Nothobranchius furzeri: one gene and its partners. The protein of the gene in region 2 interacts with the protein of the main gene of each other region in a pairwise test. Links are inferred from orthologs where the notes say so. Each region holds a gene or a part of one and is shown on either strand. Other genes may lie near its edges. The genes, in order: rnf8, tmem79b and tnmd.

Evidence for each region.
Region 1: the proteins of tmem79b (region 2) and rnf8 interact in binary tests that used the Homo sapiens proteins (3 or more experiments, as listed by UniProt). The two-hybrid records come from large-scale screens. The link is inferred for Nothobranchius furzeri from reciprocal best matches to the Homo sapiens genes TMEM79 and RNF8.
Region 3: the proteins of tmem79b (region 2) and tnmd interact in binary tests that used the Homo sapiens proteins (3 or more experiments, as listed by UniProt). The two-hybrid records come from large-scale screens. The link is inferred for Nothobranchius furzeri from reciprocal best matches to the Homo sapiens genes TMEM79 and TNMD.

Annotation. Positions count from the first base shown.
Region 1 is NC_091742.1:8,358,896-8,362,647, reverse strand, and holds the start of rnf8 (E3 ubiquitin-protein ligase rnf8), read right to left. Parts: upstream 2,739-3,752; 5' UTR 2,608-2,738; coding exon 2,485-2,607; intron 2,319-2,484; coding exon 2,190-2,318; intron 2,047-2,189; coding exon 1,604-2,046; intron 1,396-1,603; coding exon 1,188-1,395; intron 758-1,187; coding exon 695-757; intron 560-694; coding exon 470-559; intron 395-469; coding exon 287-394; intron 201-286; coding exon 1-200. Other genes in the region: aida (axin interactor, dorsalization-associated protein), read left to right, coding at 3,318-3,424. UniProt on the Homo sapiens protein: E3 ubiquitin-protein ligase that plays a key role in DNA damage signaling via 2 distinct roles: by mediating the 'Lys-63'-linked ubiquitination of histones H2A and H2AX and promoting the recruitment of DNA repair proteins at double-strand breaks (DSBs) sites, and by catalyzing 'Lys-48'-linked ubiquitination to remove target proteins from DNA damage sites.
Region 2 is NC_091745.1:66,341,493-66,345,244, forward strand, and holds the start of tmem79b (transmembrane protein 79), read left to right. Parts: upstream 1-1,535; 5' UTR 1,536-1,702; intron 1,703-3,752.
Region 3 is NC_091741.1:85,815,555-85,819,206, forward strand, and holds part of tnmd (tenomodulin), read right to left. Parts: intron 1,338-3,652; coding exon 1,128-1,337; 3' UTR 1-1,127. UniProt on the Homo sapiens protein: May be an angiogenesis inhibitor.

The DNA of each region.
Region 1 (3,752 bases), on a different chromosome or scaffold from region 2:
CTTTCAGTGATGAGCGTCTGCCGCCGGGCCTTCATGTCCAGGCTCAGGTTCTCCACCATACGGTTGATGCAGTTGTCCAGGGCCAGACACCGGGTCTGGGACTCGATAGCCTGTCTACAGATGGGACACTCGTTTTTCTTCTTGCGCCACAACTTGATGCAGTAACAGCAGAAGCTGTGAGCACAGTTCAGGATGACCGCCTGTACAGGGACATTTTTTTTTAATTTCAGCAGGTGAAGTCGGGTTTTTGTGAGTAAGATGATCCCAAACAGGTTCCTGGCTCTACCTCGATGAAGAGCTCTGAGCAGATGATGCACTGGAGCTCGTTCTCCAGAACCTCTGTGACTTGTGTTACTACCTCCTCCTTTTGGGCTTTCGCCTTTTCTTTTTCCTCCTGGAGGAAAAAAAATATGAATCAAAGTGACAACCAAGGTAAAAATGTGTGTTTTAAAAAGTGTCTTTCAGGCACCTTTGTTTCTTCTAGTTCTTTGTTTTTCGCAGAGAGGATTTCTTCAAATGTTTTTCGAGAGTCGGCAAGCTCGTCGATCACTTTCTTTTGCTGTTTGTTGAAAAAACAGGCACAAAAAAACTTTTTATTACATTTAATCAAAAACTTAAAGAAATAAACTAAAAAACTGTTAGTTTAAATTAAATGTGTTAACAGCTTTTAATTAGTTTAATTGAACCTTCTTACTTCCTGAAGAGCCTCTTCAAGTTGTTTTTTCATTAGCTCCTCTTGCTGCTGTGTTTTCTGCTCCTAAACGCATAAAAGACAGACGATTCACTTAAATTGAAACTTTATTTTTATGGACATATATATTTTTCTAATTGTAAATGCAGATGAACCTTTTGATTCACATATGTCAGAACAAGAAGGGTGAGGAACGTGTTACTTTCCATATGTGGCGCTTTTGTTTGAAACCCCAAAAAAGATGCTCAATATTAATATGCTCTGGAATATTAATATCGATATGGAATATGATGCAGAAATGTAGCTCTTTAACAGGTTTTGTTATGTTTAAGATCTTTTTTTTGCAACGTTACCAAGATTATTTAAAGTATGGCTGAATCATTTTGAAATGTGGAGAATTAAAAGTTAAACTAACGCTGTAAAATAAAGCAATTGCGGGTTGGGGGAATGAAAATGTAACGATGTTTCAAAAAGAAAAAAAAACAACACTCCTGACCTCCAACTGTCTCCTTGTTTTACTGAAGGTTCTCTCTAAAGTCTTCATTTGACACATTTTGGCTCTAAGGGTTTCCAGTTGACCCTGCAGCTCACGGACCTGCTCCCGTCGGAGAGGATCTGCCCGCCTGGGTTCTCCTCCAAGAGATGATACCTGCTTCTGGGTGTCATCCACCTGCTCCCGTAACAGCAGGAGATTCTGGCTGTACCTGCAGGTTATACATTAATATTTACAACTTTTACACAACAGAACATCAGAATGGACAACTCCTAAAGAGTATTATTTTCATTAAAAGTAGAGAGGAGTCTGTTTGAATATGTGACACATAATTCAGCAAATGTATTAAATAAAAGCTTGTAAAGGAGCAGTGTCTTTGGTTTGATTGAGAACCTTTTTTACGAGGAGTCACACTTTACCTCTGCAGGTTGTCCACTTCACAAGGATCACTGGATCCATCAGAGTGCTGCTCTTGTTTTTGTGTGCTGGATGCCGTCTCCTCCAGGTGTGTGTTACTGAGCCGCTGCTGGCATTTCACCGCAGACAGAGGACAGGGTTTTGCAAAAGATTTCCCTTCTGAATCGCAGCGGTACAGCTTAGGCTTTGATGTAGAAGGCTCGACTTCCTCCACAGTCAACTTCCTTTTGGATTTTTTGGAGACTTGCGGCTCTTTAGCCCAAGTTCTACATGCCTTTGCCAGGTACGGCTGAATGTTTCTGAGCAGTCGCCGGATGAGGATGTAATCAAATTCTACTTTGGTTCCTGATAAAGGAACTCCAAGTCGGATCGAGTCTCCAAGTTTGAGCAGGTAAGGTTCATCGGCAGAAATCCGATTTCCGTTCACCCAGACACCATTGAGACTCTGTGGAAGATAATTAATAATAATAATAATAATAATAACTTATTTACTAAGATTTAACTTGGTATTAGCTGCTGCTGTTAATAATAGCCCCATCATCTGTTAGAGATCAATTTTAGGAGAGTTAGCTCAAGAAATAAGGCTACCTTTTTGTCTACCACTGTCCAGTGACCGTCTTCTATCTGTCTGAAGGCACAGTGCAGTCTGGAGATCATGAGAGGACTACTTGAAGACAGCAGCTGGTAGGTGACATCCAAACCACGTCCAACAGTGATCTGAGCAGTCAAAAACAAACGTCAATTTACAGTTTTTCCATATAAACAGGGTCCACTACGCCGTTAGAAAAAACTTAATGAATAAAATGGCATGCCTATTGTATGTATACATAGCACAATCCTGAAAATGATTTTTTTTAGTTAAGCTAACATTAGCAAACTGTACCTCTGCCTTTTCGAACAAACGAAGCCAGTCTGATTTTTTTCCGACTCTCATCAGACACAAGACCTCCGAGTCCGAACATTCACCGTCCTCAGCCGAACATGAATCCGCCGTTGCACTATCCATGTTAAGCCATTCTGTCACAGGCCAAACACTCCGCTGTTGTTGTGTCTTATATGTATATGTCGATGTGTGTCTTCCGTCACATAACTGCTACATGCTAACGCGGTAGCGATCCGGGAGACACCGGAAAACGGTACAATTCATTTCGAAATAAAAGCGACGGGAAACTGCTAAAATAAATATCAATGTTTTATTTATTATTTCTTGTATAACGGCACGTATCACGTGTTGTAAATCTTTTGAACAAGGCAAAATAAATAAAAAAGTATGAATAGAATAGGTTTCTGGGATACGTTACTCTTTATTTATTGACATTTTTAAACATGAAAGTAACGTTAAAAAGTAAATGCTAGTATTTTGGATGATAAATATTTTAATATATTAAATATATTTTTGCTTTATGAAGTTTAAATTTTTTTTAAAGCAATGAATTTTTTTTATCGAAAATTCAAATTAGAGCACTTTGTTGTTGTGATTTGTTCTCAGTCAGGCAACCCAGCACCCTAAAACGAGTGCACCTAACCCCGGGGCGGGACTTCCTGTCTGCACCGGAAGTCCCAGTGTTGAACAGGCAGAAAGGGCTTGGTCCGTGTGTCACCGGTCTTATCCGCGTATGTCTGGACGGGAGATAACCAGGCTGCCGAAGCTGCGTAAATAAATCTCCACCTCGGCTATGCTGCCCTGAGAGCGCCGCGAGTATCCGCCCCGCCAAAATGTCTGATGTCAACAAGACTATTCAGAAATGGCACGCCAGTTTCAAGAAAGGCACAGACTTTGACTCGTGGGGACAATTGGTAGAGGCTATAGACGAGTACCAAATGTGAGTTACATTCAACATGTGTGTCTTATTTTTGTACGATTGAGTGTAAACATCTGGAACAGCGAGGACGGCTTGTTTAGCTTTTTATTTTTTTGCTGTCTTAAAGCTTGTCAGCTCTTAAACCTGCAGAAGTTAGCCTCGGAGCTGTCAGTCAGCCCCCACAGCAGTAAATAAACCCTTCCCATCCATGACGTGATGTGGCATTGTTGCAGAGGCAGCGGAGTCCCATCCCATCTTCATTCACAGAGGGGAGAAGAACAAAAAGAAACACCCAAAGCTGAATGTCTTGTTTCTGAGCGTTAGGAGAAGAGAATAACCAATATTCCTT
Region 2 (3,752 bases):
TTTTTCTTGAGAAACTTTGAAGAAAAAATGTCCAAGAAAAGACAAAACTTACATATCGTCAACAGAGCTACTCCAACATGCAGCCACCCAGAGCAGATCAGTTCCGAAAAGTTCAGTCATCATGCCGCTGGGTTGATCCCCAAGGCCGCCTACCTAGGGCCTATCATCAGGTGTCAGGTAACACCAGGGCTGACTCTACCGAATTTGGTACCCCAGGCTTGATCCTTCGCGCTCCCCGTCCTTGCCACATGCACGCACGCACACACTGCACCCCCCACAAACACATACACACACAGACTCGCAATGATCATACATTTTAAACTCTCATTTAAATTAGACTTTCATTGAAATCACTTTTAGCTTCTTCTACTGCTTTAATAAACTCCCTTTTCTCTTCCTGCAGATTCTCTCTGAGAAGTTGAATATTTAATTCCTCTTTGAGCAGAAATTGTCTATCTAATCTAATGCTGTAATTCTGTCTTTTTCTGCTCAAACTCTGATTTCTGGTTCTCCAGATGAATGTTTTCAGCTTTTAAACATTTCTTCACATCATTTAGAGTCTGTCGTTTCTCCGCTATGTCCTGTTCAAAATTTTCTTTAGAGTTTAAAAACTAATTTCTGGTTTTCCAGGTGAATGTGTCATGTTCTGTGTCCCCTTGGTCCCCAGCCCCCTCCTGTTCTCCCTCAGGTTCTCCTCATGTGTCTTCTTGTGTTCCCCAGCTCCCTCTAGGCTTTCCTCATGTTTTCCTCCTCCCTTGTAATTCCCATTTGTTTGCATTAGTCCTCCTCACCCCTGTAGTTAATCGAGCAGCCTATTTGCCTGCACTTTTGAAGCTGACGGGGGTCAGCTTCACAGAGCTCCCACAGCTGAGGAGGGAAAGAGGAGGTAAACAGCGAGTGGATCACAAGGACTGAACTGATGTTTTTGAGCAAAACTGCGGTAAAAATGGCTGTTTGTCCTCATTATCAAGTGTTTGTATTTGGGTTTGTGGTTAAATTATGAAAATGTTTGAAGTGGATGCTCGGGGAATGTCTGAATATTAGTGAGTTTAAGAAACAGTGCATTTTTTTTCATGGTCAGTAGGTGAATATTGTTTATTTAATAATTTTTTATAGGTTAGATATTGTTGTGAAGCTCTTGGCTATGATTGTATGATATGTGAAGAGTATTGTTGAGATTGATAGTATTCGATTATGATTGGAAGCCCAATTAGTAAATGACATTAACTTAAAAGGAAGGGGTGGGTCATGTTTTACTTCCATCTTCTCCTTTTCAGACATGGAAATTTATTATTTTATTCAAAGTTATGATTTCTCCATTTTATTATTTTTTTAGTTGCATCTTTCAATTATGTGTGAAAATGTTTGCTTATTTTGTCCTTTTTACACGTTTGAAAGCTTTAAACTAAACTAAACGAAACTAAAGATTTTTCTGCGTAATTAAGGAATTTATTGAACATCCATCCTGCTCAGAATGGAAGACTGAAACATTTCCCCACTGAGGGACAATAATAATGCTCAGTTTCAATAAACGCTGTTTGCTTTTCAGAGGCTTTCTGATCACCTGGGAGGATTTTCTGTCGGCAGGCATTTAACCAATACTGGCCCTTTAAGCAGGCTTTCTTATTTACCTGAGAGACCACACCTGACGTTGACTTCCGCAAAATTTCACAACAGAATTTCCAGGTGGCAGAAGTTAGAGGTGAGAACTCAGGTCCAGGAAAAAAAACAAAACAAGAACCTTAAATAAAACTGGAGAAAGAAGGACCGAGGACCAGAACCAGGTACTGGACCCAGATGTGTTTGTTTGTGACGCTTTCCATGATGTTAGCATGTTAGCTCGTCTCTGGTCAACAGGTGATTCCAGGTGATCGCGTGTCCCCAATGACGTCAGATTGTAAACACTGTCTTAAAATTCTTTAAAAGAATCAAGATAGATGTTAAAAAAAGCAACAACCCAGGAAGCCATGATGTCTTTGACAGTGCCTCTGGTATCTTTATCGAAAACAAAATAAAACTTGATTAGGGCGGTCAGTCAAGAAAATATTAGTATTTATTCACGATTAATCGCGGGAGTGTTTAACCAATTCCAACATGGTACTCATAAATTCAGCATAATGTGACATATTGATGGCTTCTGATGCAGGAGCAGACAAATACCTCATATGTAAATGTAGGCCTATTCAAAACAACAATAAACAGCCTATGTTGCAGCTAAAGTTCATGGAGCTGAAGTTTCTTTCTATTTCTAATTTCCATTTAGAAAAATGGCTAAAGAACCATTTCAACTGATTCTAGCAGAATGTGTCCAGATTTTAGTTTGTGGTTGGTGAAACCATCCTTTATTAGAGCAGACAGCTCAAAACCACAGATTATTCTGAGACTGTGTACTGGGTTGACTAACCCTAATCCAGTTTGTGATTTATGAAAGTTTAATATAGAGCATTTCCAGCACTTCTTTTGCATCTGGAATTTATTGAAACAGGTCCTGCTCAAAAAGTGCAAAAGTCTATATATATATATATATATATATATATATATATATATATATATATATATATTTTTTTTTTTATCTTGCAAAGCAAGACAAGAAAGCAGTGAAGAGCTTGTCAAGTTCATAGAGATGCAGGGGAAACTCTTAATTGTGAATAATTGTCCCAGGCCTTACCTATACGTTACTCAAAAGCTTTAGGTGAAATCCAAACAGGCAGGTTGTGGCCCCACGTACAGTGAGGAGGTGGACTGATGAGTGTGAGGAGGTTCTCAAGGACTGCTTCAACACCACGGTGTGGACAGATCTCTGTGATCCACATGGGGAAGACATTAATGCCATCACAGATTGCATCACGGACTACATAAACTTCTGTTTTGAGAACACCGTTCCCTCCAGGACGGTGTGGTGCTCCGCGAACACCAAACCATGGATCACCCCCAACATCAAAACTCTCTTAAAGGAGAAAAAGAGAGCCTTCAAATCTGGGGACAAGGAGTAGCTGAGAACCGTTCAGAAGGAGCTGAGGAGGAAGATTAGGGAGGCCAGCTACAATAGGAAAATGGAGAAGCAAAACACCCCACTCACAGGGGGAGGGGGACCTGAAGTGGCCCAACTACCTAAACCTGTATTTCAATAGGTTTGACCAAGCACCCACCCCTTCCCCCACACAGCCTCATTCAAATAACTCGACACCTGGAAGACCCCCTACAACTACAGCCCTTCACACCTCTGGCTCCTCCATTCGCACCATCGTGCATCCCCCAGGACTCGGCCCCCTCCCCAGTACAGAGCCCCACTGCCCACTCCTCTCCTTTACAACAGGCCAGGTGACGAGAGAGCAGATGCAGATCAAAGCGAAAAAAGCTGCTGGTCCTGACAATATTAGCTCCAGTCTCCTTAAATCCTGCGCAGATGAACTGAGTGGAGTTATAGAGCATGTCTTCAACCTGAGCCTCAAGCTGAGGGTGGTACCTCAGCTCTGGAAGACCTCCTGTGTGGTTCCAGTGCCGAAGACACGAAAAGCTAATGAGCTCAGTAGCTACCGGCCGGTGGCTCTCACATCCCACCTGATGAAGACACTGGAGAGACTGATCCTGGGACACCTCCGGTCTACTGTGGGACCTTCGACGTATCCATTGCAGTTTGCTTACCGACCAGTGGTTGGAGTAGAAGGTCTCACAACACAGACAGGAAGGAAGGGCCAGAGCAGGCTCCACCTCCTGAGGAGACTACGGTCTTTTGGGGTGATGGGGACACT
Region 3 (3,652 bases), on a different chromosome or scaffold from region 2:
ACATTTTCAGGTAGCATATAAGACTGACTTGTTGCCTCACCACCTACATCAATTCCTGCTTCTGGCGGACTACGTTTACAATATCTTGGTTGAACGTCTGATTCCAAAGGCCCTACTCAGAAATATTTGTTTTGCCCCCATCTTGAACGGCAGTTTGCAGTCGAGGTTTGCTAAATATTATGTGATAATTGGTCATGTTGTCGTTCTTCTGTAAGCATGTAGCAACTATTCTTGAGGGGAACTTCTAAAAATATAGAAATTTAATTATGGTGTTGGGTGAGGAATGTAAAGTTCTTCAATGATTTGGCTGCACATCATGGAAACTCCACAAATGAACATCTTCACCTCCTTGGACCTCAGCTACGACTCTCTACATAAGGTAAATCAACAGTTATAACCCTGCAGCCCTCCTTTCAGTGACAGATATCCAATTAGATCTCCATTCTGGATTGCTCTTTGGGATTCGATGGAGTGGCAGGTTTGATTTCTCCTCATGAAACCATGTTGCATGTTTAGACTTTAACTAACAACAAACAATGTTTTGCTGTCTGAAAATGCCAGTAAACATAGATCAGGTTATGCTCTGTTGGAAACTGAAAACGCCTTATAGCACATTTAAGAAAAAATACATGGCATGTACATGTTAATACAATATTAGCTTTAAATCTTGTAAGATAAAAATTGAAGCAAGCCAAAGAAGTAAGCGGCTAAAATACCCAATACACTTTGATTATTATTACATACATTGAACTAAAATGCAGTGGTCCTGGAGGGCCGCCATCCAGCACGTTTTACTTGTTTCCCTGCAGCAACGCTTGATTCAGTGGTTGAATCACCTGCAGCAGCTCATCAGGCTCTGCAGAAGCCTGGTAATCACCTGCTGATTGAAATCAGGTGTGTTGAGGCAGGGTTAAGACTAAAACATGCTGGGTACCGGTCCTCCAGAACCAGGACTGAGAACCACTGCTCTAGTGTATATGTACCTTTCAGGAAAGCATCATTACATTTCAAATGCCTTGTTTGGTTGATTTGTTTTTGATGGTAAAAAGAAAAAAATCAAAGTACATGTCCCTGCTTTGGTCTCAAAAGGGGGTATTCTGGAATATTCATCAGAGACGACACAAACATCAGATCCTCCCCAGCATACGAGCGATCCACCAGTTGCATGGCATCACGATCTGACAGATGACCCGGCCTCCTTGGTAGTAGTATGGCCATGGGTTGAATCCACCCAGGGGCTCGTGGTAGCGTTGACAGTAGCGGTAACCACGGCGACAGTGCTGACAGCAGAAGCCGCGGTCATCCAGGCGGTGATCCAGCTCGATTCCAACATCCCTCTGCAGAGGACACAGGGTTGCAATCACACACACACATGACAAATGCCAGTCCTCCAGAGGCAAGGGCAGGAGAGAGGAGGAAGAGGAGCGGGATGACGTGAATTGATGAGGCTACTCTTGGTTCTAGGTCAGTGCGATGTATGTAAAAACCAAACAAGAGTGAAAAGATCAGAACTGATTTCTGTGAAAATGCAAAGTTGTGTCATGCTTAATGACTCTGACAGAGATCAAGATAACAGAGAGAGAGAGAGACAGGTCTGAATTGAGCTTCGGAGGAGTAAAATGTAACGCCCCTGACCTTTTCATGACACCAGAGGTAGCGCGACTAGCAGTTACTCAGGGAAGTCAGCCACAACCTCTCTACCAGCATCATCTTCTGTCTGAGACACTGTGAGTTGCTAGTTACAAACATAATTAAACTATTTCTTTCATCTCTGACCTCTTAACTCCCTCCACTGCAGCACACACTGCACTAGAAACGGCTGTCCCTCCTCCACCAGAGCATTCAAATCAGAGCTCCTCACGTCTTGATGCCCTCCCCCTGACCTTGACTTTAAGTGCAAGGCACATTCCTGAAGCAATTAGCAGAGTAATGATCGCCTAAGAAGGATTCTTTCATTTGCTCTTGCTGGCTGCCTCTGAATTTATGGAGGAGCCAAATGAAACCCAAACGAAAGGTAAATTGGGTAGAATTAATGGCCCTTGGATTTTTCCATTGTGCTGGTTGGTTCATGCCCTCATTGACTCTTTGGGCTGACTGCCATGCCTCTGATCAAGAACAACTCCAAATGGTGTTCGAAAAAGTACCACTTAACGGGTGGTGCGGGTTGAGACAGCGGCTGCCCTCAGCACGCTTTTGACAACATTGCAATCTCTTTTAGTAAATGAATCCTCTGAGACGGTCCGTCTCGGTCTCGTTAATCTCCACGGATCCGGGACGGCCTTCGAATTCAGAACAAACCGGCGCAAGGAATGCTTACAATGACTCAGCTACGTGCAGTGGTGCGGAACAAAACACAGCCACTTTTGGGAATAGGAAATGTTTAAGAGGACTGGACCCAGAGGGAAACAGAGCCAAGTCCCTTCAGTCCTCCACCTTGAGCAGGGCGGGGGGATAAGGGGATTTCTCGCATCTACTCTGCAAGCCACCGAGCAGTCAGTCATGGCCATTTTGTTTGTGTTATTATGTGGGAGCCAGCTGCTTTGAATTTCATACAACAATGACCAATCAGGAGGTTTGATGAGAGCTCTGATAAACTGAATGACATTACACACTTGTGAGACATTTTTAAAAACACGTAGAAAGGCGCTGCAACAGATGATATCGAGGATAGATGGGTTTGATTTATTACTATGACAGGCACTGGTAAGCTTTTAATGATTTATTGTTCCAGCCAGGTTTCAGGTCATCAGCTCCCAGGCAACAATCTGTTATGGAAACAACACGAAAGCTGTCAATGGACCAATGATAATCTTATCTCCTCCTCGCAGCCTGAACCAGGATGTAACCAAGTCTGGGGCTGCGGCTCGGAAAATGAGGAAAATATTTTATTCAAATGACGTTCATCAAAACAAACAGCCAATAGGCAGCATTGTACCTTAAAGAGAATTAATCAGAGCTACCCTTTTTAAAAACGGAGCCTACATATTAATCACTCTTGCTCTGAGTTGCTGTCTCTGCTGGGAAGCTGCCATGATAAGAATAGTTCACCTTGGGAAATCTGAGACAGTCACTCACAAACAGGCAGCATTAATGAGGAGTAGAAACCATTACCTCCTCGCTGCATCTGATTTCATCACACACACACACACACACACACACACACACACACACACACACACACACACACACACACACACACACACACACACACACACACACACACACACACACACACACACACACACACACACACACACACACACACACACACACACACACACACACCCCTCTGTGCATAATATGAGACAGTGGATGTGAATGAGTCGGCAGAGTAGAAAACTGTGTCAGTCATTCAATAAGATGTAGCGAATCAAAGCATGACTTCTCTAATCTCCACACTTGTTGGTATTATTTCACACACACTGATCACCGCTTTTCATGAGCTTGAAGCACATGCCTGGGTGTGTTATTAAATCTCAGAGCAGAGCTCATCACATTCATCCGCTGATCAAAACAGCAGAGATAATGTTTCTTTATAATGCCCTGCTTTGTATTTTAAAGAGCTTTAAATCAAAACAAAACAAAAAACCTCCCCTTTTGCATCTTTTAGTGCTGGCATGTGGGTTTCTACAGCCTCTATAAACACTTCAAA